3 linked regions of the Styela clava genome follow. The protein of the gene in region 2 binds, or shares a complex with, the protein of the main gene of each other region. Links are inferred from orthologs where the notes say so. Each region holds a gene or a part of one and is shown on either strand. Other genes may lie near its edges.

Region 1 (4,366 bases), on a different chromosome or scaffold from region 2:
TGGCCATAAAAAACAAAGACATATATGATAGAAAAGATTTTCATTTACATTTAGACAGTTAGAAGAGTGAAGATGATAACACTGTAACATGGCTCAACCACATAGCACACAGCTTTTGGTTTGATTACCAGTACATACATGGAAAAGATGATTAGAAAAATACATGATAAAAATAATATAAATTGAAGATTAGATTAGGATATGATTTTCCTATTTACTGTAATTATTCCAATGAGAAGCAAACCAATAAGGTGTCCCAATCACATATTTCCAATTTAAACCTAGTAAAAGTACAAATAGGAATCAGAATTAGAAAAAGTCGATATCCCTTTAGTACGATATGAGTTCAAAACAATTTTGTATTATTTACACATACAGACATATCAAAAGCGTTCTATAAAATTACATATGTATTGCGTAAGGTAGGTAGGTATTGCATTTCTTAATACAATTTTCGCATCACATTTAGACATATTTCATGTTCCTGAGCATTTAATTCATTCTACATTTAAATATAATTCTTATTACTCATTGAAAATATCTATTCAACCCAATTGCGGAAATTCTATGTGGCTGATTTTTCACACATATCTAGGATAATTATTGTTGAGTAATCGGCGCGGCGGTGTGGCTCAACGGGCTAAGCGTTAGGAATACGCTCGCCACCGCACCTCTAACTACTCTGCGTGGGTTCGCAGGTTCGAATCCCATGCAGGGATGGTTATGTGCGAGAGGATTGCTGGACTCCTCGCCGTCGTTGGGTGGTTCACGTAACCGCTGGTCGGTTACGGCTTCCTCCACCACCAAGTCCATGCTTCCAAAAACAAACAATACAGTAAATCTAATCCCATACCCGACTTGGAATGGTAACCGGACGAGAGGCCGTGGTTCGCCATATGGATAAGCCGTCTTATCGGCTTTCCTCTCCCCCGGGATAAATATGTAAATCCTATCCTATCCTACTGCAACATCCCAATACCGTGTCCTGGTATCAAAATACTGCGTAACGACTTTATCTGCGGGTAGCTGCGTTTCAACATCAATCTTCCAATGTTCATTTTAGTTAGAACTACTATCTTTTGATACAAATATTAGAAAAATAACCTTGCCTTTGCATCTTTTCCTTCCAAAAATATTCGAAAATAAGGAGTGCATTTTAAAAAGTTTACTACAAGGGGAATTCCCGAGTTAACCAGAAAACATCTTTTAATATTAATGTGGTTTCGTGCTCAAGTTCGAAAGATTTGAGTGTTTTTTTAGCATCAAGTTTTGTTGTTTAGAATTATAAATATTTGATAATGAAGTTGTGTTGTTGAATTCTTTTAAAATATATCATTTTCGTAAGATTTGAACTTATTTCCTATCGGAATCAGCCAAGCGTAGTTTTTTTGACACGTGACACCGACGTTCAATTTTCGTTCATGCTGCATTTTGTGGGGAAAATTATTCGCTGAGCGTTGTATTTTTCTACAATCTGTATATTTTGAAGGTCTAATCATGGATATAAAAAGTATTAAAAACGAAGTGGATTCGGAAGAGAACTCTGAACCCGCAAAAAAACGAAAAATTTCAGACAGTGAAATTAAACAAGAAGCTCCAGAACAAAAAATATTAGCTTTGGTTGAAGAATATTCGTCTGAAGAAGAATACAGGTATGATGACGAACCAAAGATTGATAGAAGTCGAAGCTGCCCGTATTTAGATACAATTAAACGCAGTGTTTTAGATTTTGATTTCGAAAAATTGTGCTCAGTGTCTCTCTCTCATTTGAACGTTTATGCTTGTCTCGTTTGCGGAAAATATTTTCAAGGAAGGGGCAAAAAATCTCATGCCTACACTCACAGTGTTGAGATAAATCATCATGTATTTTTGAATCTGAGGACTCTGAAATTTTACTGCCTCCCTGATAACTATGAAATTTTAGATTCATCACTTGAAGATATTACTTATGTTCTTAACCCTACTTTTAAAAAGAATCATATCGCTGAATTAAGCACAAGTTCCAAACTTAGTAGAGCTTACGATAGCACAACGTACTTGCCAGGAATAGTCGGGCTCAATAACATCAAAGCGAATGATTATTGTAACGTTGTTTTACAAGCGTTGTCAAACATCCCTCCATTGAGGGATTATTTTTTGAGAGAAGAGAATTACTCTCATATTAAACGGCCACCTGGTGACATCATGATTCTTTTAACTCAAAGATTTGGAGAATTGATTCGTAAATTATGGAATCCTCGTAATTTCAAAGCCCATGTGTCACCACACGAGATGCTGCAGAGCATTGTGCTCTGCTCTCGTAAACGATTCCAAATCACTGTACAAGGTGATCCTCTTGAATTACTTGCTTGGTTTTTGAATTCTTTACATGTTGCCCTAAATGGAACCAAGAAGAAGAGTTCCAGCATCATCACTGAAACTTTCCAGGGAGAAATGAAAATTTATTCAAGAAAAGTTCCTAACCCTGAACTACCAGAAGAAGAAAAAGTGAAACTGTTAGATCTGCCAGAATACCAAGAAACAATGCAAAAATCACCGTTTTTATATCTCACATTAGACCTACTTGCTGCCCCTCTCTACAAGGACGAACAGGAACAAAATATTATCCCACAAGTTCCGTTATTTAACCTTCTTGCAAAATTTAACGGCCTCACTGAGAAAGAATACAAAGGAAAACGAGATTTCACCATGAAAAAGTTTGAGCTTACACGTCTCCCTCCGTTTTTAATTTTCTACATCAAACGATTCACGAAAAATCTATTCTTCATAGAGAAAAATCCTACAATTGTTAATTTTCCCGTCAAAAATATCGATCTCGCGGAATTTGTCGCTGCTGATGCAGATATTAAAGACACATGTTATGATCTGGTTGCAAATATTGTGCATGATGGCGACCCGAACATTGGGAAAGGCACATATCGTGTTTATATTCTCCACCAAGGATCTAACCAATGGTATGAGATGCAAGATCTTCATGTGAGCGACATTTTGCCACAAATGATTACTCTCTCTGAAGCTTACATCCAAATATGGGCCCAAAGAAAAGGTGGAAAAGAATATGCATTTTCTAATGAAATGCAAGCCAAAGCAAAATCGGATGGAGTCAAAATGGAAATATAAATAACATTCATTATTGCTTGATTATTTAGCAAATGCATTTCATATTAGCCAATTTGGCTACTAGTCTTCGGAATTATTAGATCTTTGCTATGTCGAATTGCTATATGGGGAATTGATGATGTGCAAAATTGGCATGAAAAAAATTTTTAGTTTTAAAAGAGTGTTACAGTCTTTGACTGGCCAATTTAAATACTAATCCTTAGTGTGCCCCTCCGCAACTTGGAAAGCTATGATAAAATAGTGTGTAAACTAAACCCACATTTGAATGGAACTTTAACTGACCAGTTGCTTATAGGTGATGGAATAAACCAGACCTGTTTTTTGTTTGTAAAATATTATTATTGGAAGCTAACTGTTCAATCTTGCTCATGCTTTTGTTTAATATTCAACTTTCTAATGATGGCTACTTTAGCACTAATTTCATATGGCATACTCAACTCGGTACTCCCGTAGTGTGTGTACCAGATTAGGGTTAGGCTTAATATACCCCCTGCCCATAGGCTTCCATCCCTTTACACAACTTGATGTAAAGTAGGCGAACTAAATTAGTTACCTCTATTTGGTACACACAATTCTGGAGCGCCCTCAACTTAAGTAACACTTATAAATGAATGAGGTAATGAAATCCAATTTGAGGTATTGGTGACAGTGATATGTATATTTATACAAATTTTCTCATTGGCTTGCTTCATACCACACCCTTTATAATTATCACAAGTAATCAAGAATTGGTTGATATAAATTATCTTTTGTTTTCTGAGCCTGTAGTCACGCTCTCCATGATAAGAGTTTGCAACCTCGATATATAAGTGTGTAGAATACGTGGCAAAATTGCGATTAGCAAATAGATTGATCGAATCAGAAATCTTGTTTAATATAATAGTCATCTCTTTATTATACATGGCATGTACTGTTTACTCACGATCTGTTCAATGGGCTACATGATTGTCTATCCAAAATTTACCATTTGTTTGCTTTCCATTTTAAAAACTTTCAAAAAATTTGCATAAATCTGCTTTTTTGGATATTCAATATACTGCTCTTATTTTTGAAATTTCTAGCTGTCACTTGATGTTAGATTTTGATTTGGTAATAATTGTATTGAATTTTTTTGTAGACCCAGTACTACATACTAAAGTATTATTTAAATCTTCCCTATACAGCTTCGGTGACAGGATACGACTTACAAAATGGCTGACGTTGGTTCATTAGAAGAGCAAGCTCGTAAAAGGAGAGAAAAATTGAT
Region 2 (4,366 bases):
TCATTGGACATGATTCCATGATAATTGCGATTATCAGCTTTGTCAAGACCGATTTGTGGCAGAAGTCCTGAGACTATTTAATATTCCGTAGCTTTGTACATTGGTGTATCGGCCGCCATACCTCAGTGGTTGGAGCACTGGTCTCGTGGACCAGGGGTCGTGAGTTCGGTCCTCACTGGTGGCTTCCATCTATCTTCTCGTTTTCTGCAAAGCAATTTCTAAATTTACTTTGAATGTTACCCATTAGCCACAGCAATGAACTTCCAGTTCTAAATACATTGGCTCGATATCAACGACGGAAAAGAGAGAAATTCTTGAAAAATAAGGGTAAGGGTACGATAGATAATGACTCCCCGTCTTACACCAGTATCCAGCCAGGGATGTATTTTTAAAATGCTTTTCTTTGATTTTCGATCAGGATGCGGCCTCGTATTTTTGTCGCGTTGTACGTTGGCTGCCATAGCTCAGTGTTTAGAGCACTGGTCTTGTAAACCAGAGGTCGTGAGTTCTATCCTCACTGGCGGCTTTATAATCCCTATTTATTCTATACTAACACAATTCAACTCCTGTGTTTACTCTTCAATATGAGTACTGCTGTGAGCAATTTACACAGCTAAATAACATATAGATAGGCCAGAATAGGTCGATGCAACGCACTCGAGTGAGTGAAAAGTTAGCTCTACATATTAATTAAGATAGTACAATTGACATATGTCATGGAATAAATTCCTTTATGAAGTGTATACATACACCTCAATGTAATATAATGGTTTATGTTCAGTTGTCTTTGACTCCGACCACCATCGGTAAAACGTATGCGAGACGTTTTTTTTAATACAAAATGCATCATGCCAGATTGCAGTGCATCAAACTGAGACATATGTATATTTTAGCATTGAATCTGTCATAATTCAAGTTCACTATTTACTAATAATTATATCGTCATAAGTATATACAATATACTTTTAATATTATACTTATATTAGAACAGAAATTATTTCTGAGATTTCTTATTTCCATGGAGAAATCTGGCATCTGTTATGCACTTTTACCGAGTGCGGTTTAATAATTCACCACTGTGAAGTTAGCATTATTATTAGACTATTGCTGTAGATTTTTAGATTATTCGGCATTTTGGTGTCATGAATTAATTTTAGCGGTTCATGTTTACTGAGATTCCACTTATTAATAATACTTAACTTTATATTTGATAGGGTTTTATTACAAAACAGATTGCCTGTTTCTACCATCACCTCATGTTTCAGAGAATTTGTAAAATCCTATCCTTTTGTCCTTGATCAAATAAAATGGCTGTAACATCGTGTACGTTATTCACCCTTTCGAATCTACCTCCAATTGAAATACATAGCATATTTTCAGACAGTAGCCTAGGATAACTTTAACAATTTTCTGAATCTAGATAGGCTAGTTCTGTAGTTTACATTTTAAAAGCAAAAGTTATCACTGTTCCAGGATTTTGTTTTTCAGTTCTAAATCAACTATGAAAATGGCGTTATCAAGAAAAGAAGCTGATGAATTGAAGCCTCAAATCAGTGGAATTGTTGAAAAAGTACTTGGTTTCTCCGACAATTCTGTTGTCGTGGCAGCAATCCAATGTCTACAGAAGGACATGGACAAAGGAAGAATAATTGGTTTGTATTTATTGTTGCTTTACCACAATGATAAATCGTAAACAGGATTTCTAAAGCCCTCCATTTGAAATGCAAAAATCTTTGTTGCATCTCCTGAACAATTTCTGGAAGTTGTTGTTTCTATTTCCTCTTTCAGTCTTTATTCTGTTATTTGTGTATCAATTTTTATTTATTAGAGTTCTCGGGGCTTAACCACCTGAATATCTATTACTCTAAGATTTTCATTGGCGGAATAAATATGAAATCGACTCATGCTGATCGTTATCATAAGAATGTTGGTGTCTTATCGATTGGTTTTTCGACTCGGCTCCTAGTTGTGTTCATCTTACTTCTACAAGGACTCTTTGTCGTTCTCAAACATCATTTTATTCAGACATCTCTTTATGGTATACCTATAAACATGGTTCATGGTTATACTTATGGTTCAATAGCAAATATTGTGAAATTGAAGATTGAAATTATTTATTTATCCGGTAGATCATTATTGGATAGAGATGCATCCAGTGCTATCATTTTTGCTTATTAATATCTCCAGTGACAGAGCAGTTATGTTGGTATTGAGAACAAATTTTACCTATTTGATGTGAATCATCTCGTAAATCTATAATTTGAAATTAAAAGTGTTGAAAAGAAACATATCACCTAATGTCATGCAATGAAGCGCATCTCTCATTGACAGTAAGGAATGGCTAGGATTTTATATTAGAGTTACATATCTGACATTTGTTATTGCGTTTTTGAGACTTCACGTTTTTCAAGTTTTAAAATATAGCTTCTTATTGAACCTCTTATTTATTCACAACATTTCATTCAGAACATCTGCAACCTCTGATGGATAAATCAGCAAAAAAGTTTGTTGAGGAGTTGTATACAACAGTTGAACTTTCTAAAACGAAAAAGAAAAGCAGAAAAAGAAAGGTCAGTTTTTCTTTGTTTTTTCTTCGGAACCATTTTTTATGAGCAGGCTCTGAACAAGGTTCTAGACATGTTGCCAGATTGATTGGCATATAATAAATACAGGTTAGGTGGAAACGATTAGAATTTGAAATCTCAAAATGCGAAGTGAATTATTTGAATGCAGACTTAAAATATCTGGTTTACCAGAAATTCGTTGTCTTGGCGATTAAGATTTGATTTTCATGTAGGTTTTTGTGTGGGAACAGTTTTTTGTGGCTCTCAAACAAGTCGAATATTTATATTGCAATTGCCCCATTTTGAAATAATTTCACACTTGTCGTCAAGTAACTTACCTGTCAACAAAGCAATTCTTATTCTTTCTAATCATATTGTTTTAGGAGGATGAAGTTGAAACAGCAGGGACCAAGAAAGTTCGTCGTTTTGTTGAACCTGATATTCCTGTTGCTCTTCCTGCTGAACCCATCGCTGAGAGTCCTGGAATGCTCACCACTCAACAGGTGAAGACGAGATTTTGTCGTTTCCATTCACTTACTATCTTTCAATTAACCTATACGAACCTGCCGAAATCCTATGTTATTCTGCAAGCTTCCATTGAACCCCATCAATTTTACCAGTAAGAGTTGATAAGGCTATAAAAATGCAACAATCTTCAATTTAATTCGTTATTATGTAGCATAGGTTGAGTTTTTAGGACATACACTCTAACAATGATATGACTCATCAACACCCTGAATGCAGCGCTCATTTAATCAATGTTAGGCAATCCACTGTTCGGATACGACCGCCAGCCAAATTCATTCAGCTTGAGACGTATCAACTAGCTTTCACAAGAATAGGGCTAGTCGCTTTTTATACAGTTCTAACTAAACCGCAGTGTTGCCACTATTCAAAGAATATGCGTATCGCCAAATAATCTTCAGCGGAATAAAACTACGGTATATGTAACTAATTATTTCCTCACTTAAAGCTCCAGATAAGTAGCTGCTTATACCTGGACAATAACTAATTTTACTAATCAGCATGTCTAATATATTTGTGTGTCATGTCGTGGGCCTTGGGCTTAATATGCTTAACTTCTGATATTCATCTATTGCATTTAACTACTCGACCTTATCGTCTCATATTTAGTTATTTTAAATACATTTTATATCAAAAATATCATAGTTCCACAGTGTGACCAGAAAAGCCTCCATTTAATATATGGAGTCTATATCGGTAATATGGAAGAGAAGACCACTCAAATTGATGTTTTTCTGAATTACTCATATGCTATTCCAAATTCAAAGTCATTGGATAAATATATAAAACACTTAAAGTCCCTAAAATCACGAATTAACTAACGTATTTTACGCAGCACACTAGGTCATGATGCGCACCGTCAATAAATTGCTCAGATTGGGTTTTTATTCATACATAAGGCGGAACCGTACTGGTTTTGAGCGCAGGCACATTACCTGGTCTATTACATTAGGCGCGTCGCGTTGGCTCGGAAGCCGCACAATCAATTTTCAGAAAAAAGTATTTGAAACGCTGCCTTCCGTAAAATACTGTATATAGAATATAACTATCTTTAGATATATTTGAATACTGTTTTCATTTTCTACATACCTGTGCTAGGTATGCCTAACTATCAGTGTATAATTTTTTTGCGTTACTGCTAACTATCATTATCCTCTTTCCAACATACAGATCAAAAACATGATGGAACACGCCAGAAAACAAATTGAACAAAGGAAGGAACAATTGAAAATGATGGATCCAGCTGATATCAGAGCTCAGGCTGAAGCAGCTAAGGT
Region 3 (4,366 bases), about 3.1 Mb from region 2:
GAGAATGTAGTTTTGCATAAAGCCGTAAACGAACTTTTGTAAGAATCTAGTTTTGCGAGAACGGACTTTTGTGAGAATGTAGCTTTGCGAGAAAGTACTTTTGTGAGAATGTAGTTTTGGGGAAACGTACTTTTGTGAGAATGAAGTTTTGGGAAAACGTACTTTTGTGAGAATGTAGTTTTGTGAGAACTGAAAAGTATTCAAACTTTTGAGAACTATAACTACTCGAAAAGCCTTAAGAGTGTATTTACGAGACGAATAAACATACATGTATGTATGTTGAAGCGAAGTTACCTGGACTTCGAAAAAAAAAACACATTCCCTAACTACCAGCAAAAAAACAGCGCCACATATCTGGTTCGGATATTTATTTCCATATTCTACACTCGTTGTTATCTGAATGAGAAACTATGATTGAAATAAGAAAACCAACTTCCTGAAATATGAAAATATCCTGTTCCCACACAAATTTATTCAGTGTTCACATTGCAGCAGTTATTCTGTATTCCAAACTTGATTGATTAGTGAAATAACATTGGTACAAAAATACAAACACACAAAGCTGAAATTCAGGAATATTGCCAAAGCTTGAGGTTTAAAACACGAGACATTTTAGTTTAGGACGCCACCAACAAGGGCAAAGCCCGGGGAGAGAACATGTAAGGCAATTCAATTTCTCGAATATTGCAAGCATTGAGACCCACTAGCTGTTATGGTTTAACTTGGCAATTAAAATTTAAGAATCCCCTCCCCCCTTTGAAAATTCCTGGCTATCAAGTCCACGAACCTGAAGTGAATTACATAACTAAAAAGTACATACGGTAACTATTTTTATATCCACCCTAAACTTGTGACCAGACAAGAGACCGTAGTTCAAATTATCCATTAAAAGAATTCTCTCAAAAGTAAAGAAGACTCGCCTCTGAGCGAAGTCATGTGCAATCGCAGAAAGCGACCACTAAAAATATATAGAATCATGAAGCACTATGCGCACTCACCAAAAAGTAAAGTGGACTCATCTCTGAGTGAAGTTATGTGCAATCACTAAAAAAGTCAAAGCTACTGGAACAATATAGAATCATAATGTCGGGTGTCGCTGCTCGATAACCATTCCTGGTTCCCCGCGACTTCCCTTCCCCAGTAAAAATGTGTTTTCAGTTTTGTATTTTGTTAATTTCGTATGTTATTTTTTACTGAATGGGAAAAAATAAACTAGACTATGACTATAATGGTGCATTATGGGCACTCAATCAGAGGTAAATGAGACTCAACTTTGAATGGTTATTTAGCAAAAAAACTAATCATGAATCGAGCCACGAGCTAGTGGTATGTGAATAAATAATCAAGTCAACTTATCAGACAAGAATTTCTTTCAGTAACCACACAAGAATGACTTGTAGTAGTTTCTCCTCCAAACAGACACATCAAATTGATTCCCCTTTATCACTCTTGGGGTTTGGGTCTTTGTGGTTTTTTCCCTCCCTGGCCTCCACGTCCTCCCCCTTGTGACCTTCCACGACCTCCAAATCCACCTCTATTCGGGCCTCCTCCACGGCCCCTTGGACCTCGCCCTCTTCCGCGACCTTTAGAGAAATTTTCTTCTTTTACCATGTCGATAATTTCATCGGGAATTCGTAGATACTTGATTGTGCTGCCTCGTATGTAACACTCCGGCATTTTCCAAAAATGGTCGCCGTCTCTTGAAGTGCAGATGACTTCCTGAGACATGAAAAGATACATGAAAAATTAAAAATAGGGAGAGCTTTCATGTAACGCTCCGTCATCAATTTTCTGATCTGTTTTGTTCTGTTAATTTTAGGCAGGGGAATTACCAGGGGGGGGGCTTCGGTGTGTGGTAATTTGTGGGTTGAAAAGTCTATTTCACATCGGCCCTGGATTGAACATTTTACGAAACAGAAAAATCATTATCCGATGAAAAAGTTCATTTCAACTTAATCACGGCGCCTGTTTTAGAAGCTGGTGTGTTTATTCCCAATTTCAGAACCGCCCCCTTTTGAAAACCTGGCCCCTGATCTTAGGATAGGTTTGATGAGATTTGCCTGGAAGTTTAATACTTCATTTGCATCACCAAACATGTTGTTATTTAGTCAGATAACTTGAACACTGCATTGAAATGTAAAAAAAAAACAATCATTCATATGAACAAGCTCTTCGTATCATTTCAAACTTATAGCATTGTTCTAAGCTTTAGAATATACTCGCCACCACACCTCTGATTACCCTACATGGGTGTGCAGGTTCGAATCCCATTTGGGGATGGCTATGTGCAAGAGGATTTCTGGACTCCTTGCCCAATAGGGTGGTTTACGTAACCGCTGGTCAGTTACGGCTTCCTCCACCATCAAGTCCATGCTTCCGAAAACAAATAACTGACTAATCCCATACCCGACTTGGAATGGTAACCGGACGAGAGGCCGTACTTCGCTATACGACTAAGCCGTCTTAATGACTTTTCTCTCGCCAGGGACGAATATGTAAATCTTATTCTATCTCCCAGAGGATTCAACCTTCGAGGGGGAGGATCACCCAGTGTTGTGCCACGCCAAGCATCTCAACCCTGCTTCATAGAAATTTGATGAAATAACGATTCCAAATTTGAATGATCAAATCCATAACCAAGAGCAAAACCTACCCTCAGATTAATATTCATCCAATTATCACAATTAACCAGATGTCCGTTATACGTTTCTCCATTCTTCAATTCCACCAGCATGGGATGGTTCACAGCTGTCTTTAATAAAGATAAAGGTAACATTGCTAAAATTGCTTTGTCTAAGATTTACAATAACTGAAATAATAAGGAAAATTTGTTATATTTAGTACAGTTGTTTTGATACAAAAGCATATTTAGTATTCGGAATTACTTGATATAAACAATTAATGAAGGAAATTTTTATTTAAAACTTTATCATCAGCCGATAAATGAAAAGGTAGCATTGCTAAGGGCATATGTCTTACTAAGACTGAAATAAAAAAGAAAATTTGTATAGATAAGTAATTTATATATATTTAAAACAGTTATTCCGATACAAAAGCATATTTAGAAACACTTATGTTAAACAATTAATGAGAGAAATAATTAAGAATATTTTATCTATCTGTAATCAGTAGTTAGTTTTTTCACCATATTGTGAATAATTTTTACATACAGAACGAGGGGTGCTCCCGAAGTATGCGAACCAAGATGGCGGACATCGGAACGTAACATGGGTAACAGGTTAGGGTCAGGCGATAATTTTTTTCCAATTTTCCTTATTTTAGTCCTATTATCAGTTCGAAGAGCCTCCCGTAGTATTCATACCTAAAATTATGGCCTAACCCTAACCTAGTACACATATTACATTCCGATGTCCGCCATCTTGGTTCGCATACTTCGGGAGCCCCAAACGAGGTGAAAAAAAAAGCCTTTTTGGGTGAAAAGGGGAAACAATAAACCTGTGCTGGTTATCGAGCAGTGACACCTAGGAAAAGTCTAATATTAGGTCATACAAGAGTAAGAAGCCAAAATGATTAAAAACTAAAGCGAAGAGTGAATACTGTAATACTACGAATACTTCCTGAAATAATATTTTTGAATTTAAAATATCGAATACATTCTGAAATGAGTCTCTTCAAAAGAAGAAAATTGTAGATTCATAAAATCAAACTTGGTTAAGCGGAATAATTGGGATAAATACCGTTTTAATTGGTATTCTCCATTTTATTCTGTGAGAAGTTACTAATTTTTTGTCTGTCACAATATAATAAATGCTCAAAAAGACATTTTCAAAAGAAAATATTCAAAATTATTCCTGAATTCAAGAATTACGGCTTCCTCCACCATCAAGTCCATGCTTCTGAAAACAAATAACTAATCCCATACTCGACATGGAATGGTAACCGGACGAGAGGCCGTGGTTCGCCATATGGTTAAGACGTCCTATCAACTTTACTCTCTCTCGGAATAAATATGTAAATCCTATCCTATCCTAATTTACTAAATCGAATATAACCAATATCTGTTTTGAACGTCCCTGTGTGAAATTAATATTGATTGAAATCAAAAGTAGTTCCAAAGACATAATACAGTATTTAAAAAAATATGACACACTCGGAATTCTCAGCGGTTCCCAATCGGGGGCCACAGAGAAGTTGGAGGGAGGGCCACAATGCTTGGCACAAAACTGATTTAACTTTTCCCTTCACAAGAAAACCTCTCGTTCTTCCTAGTTTTATAGCCTGATAAGGTTATTTCACAGGGTGTTTTCGTTGCTTTTTTGTGCATGATGTTGTTTGAACATACGGTAATAGGATTTGGAATCGACCAATCAAAATAACGCTATAAATACCATTGGAATGATAAACA

What was found.
Region 1: U4/U6 small nuclear ribonucleoprotein Prp3-like (region 2) and ubiquitin carboxyl-terminal hydrolase 39-like share a complex: the UniProt entries of both Homo sapiens proteins name them as parts of the U4/U6-U5 tri-snRNP complex. The link is inferred for Styela clava from reciprocal best matches to the Homo sapiens genes PRPF3 and USP39.
Region 3: U4/U6 small nuclear ribonucleoprotein Prp3-like (region 2) and U6 snRNA-associated Sm-like protein LSm4 share a complex: the UniProt entries of both Homo sapiens proteins name them as parts of the precatalytic spliceosome. The link is inferred for Styela clava from reciprocal best matches to the Homo sapiens genes PRPF3 and LSM4.

Annotation. Positions count from the first base shown.
Region 1 is NC_135257.1:18,732,682-18,737,047, reverse strand, and holds ubiquitin carboxyl-terminal hydrolase 39-like, read left to right. Parts: upstream 1-1,389; 5' UTR 1,390-1,497; coding exon 1,498-3,120; 3' UTR 3,121-4,238; downstream 4,239-4,366. Other genes in the region: uncharacterized protein LOC120345593, read right to left, coding at 1-90; coiled-coil domain-containing protein 12-like, read left to right, coding at 4,311-4,366.
Region 2 is NC_135262.1:3,874,744-3,879,109, forward strand, and holds the start of U4/U6 small nuclear ribonucleoprotein Prp3-like, read left to right. Parts: upstream 1-1,154; 5' UTR 1,155-1,501; coding exon 1,502-1,652; intron 1,653-2,466; coding exon 2,467-2,570; intron 2,571-2,947; coding exon 2,948-3,067; intron 3,068-4,259; coding exon 4,260-4,364; intron 4,365-4,366. UniProt on the Homo sapiens protein: Plays a role in pre-mRNA splicing as component of the U4/U6-U5 tri-snRNP complex that is involved in spliceosome assembly, and as component of the precatalytic spliceosome (spliceosome B complex).
Region 3 is NC_135262.1:751,527-755,892, forward strand, and holds U6 snRNA-associated Sm-like protein LSm4, read right to left. Parts: upstream 2,833-4,366; 5' UTR 2,777-2,832; coding exon 2,654-2,776; intron 1,720-2,653; coding exon 1,444-1,719; 3' UTR 453-1,443; downstream 1-452. UniProt on the Homo sapiens protein: Plays a role in pre-mRNA splicing as component of the U4/U6-U5 tri-snRNP complex that is involved in spliceosome assembly, and as component of the precatalytic spliceosome (spliceosome B complex).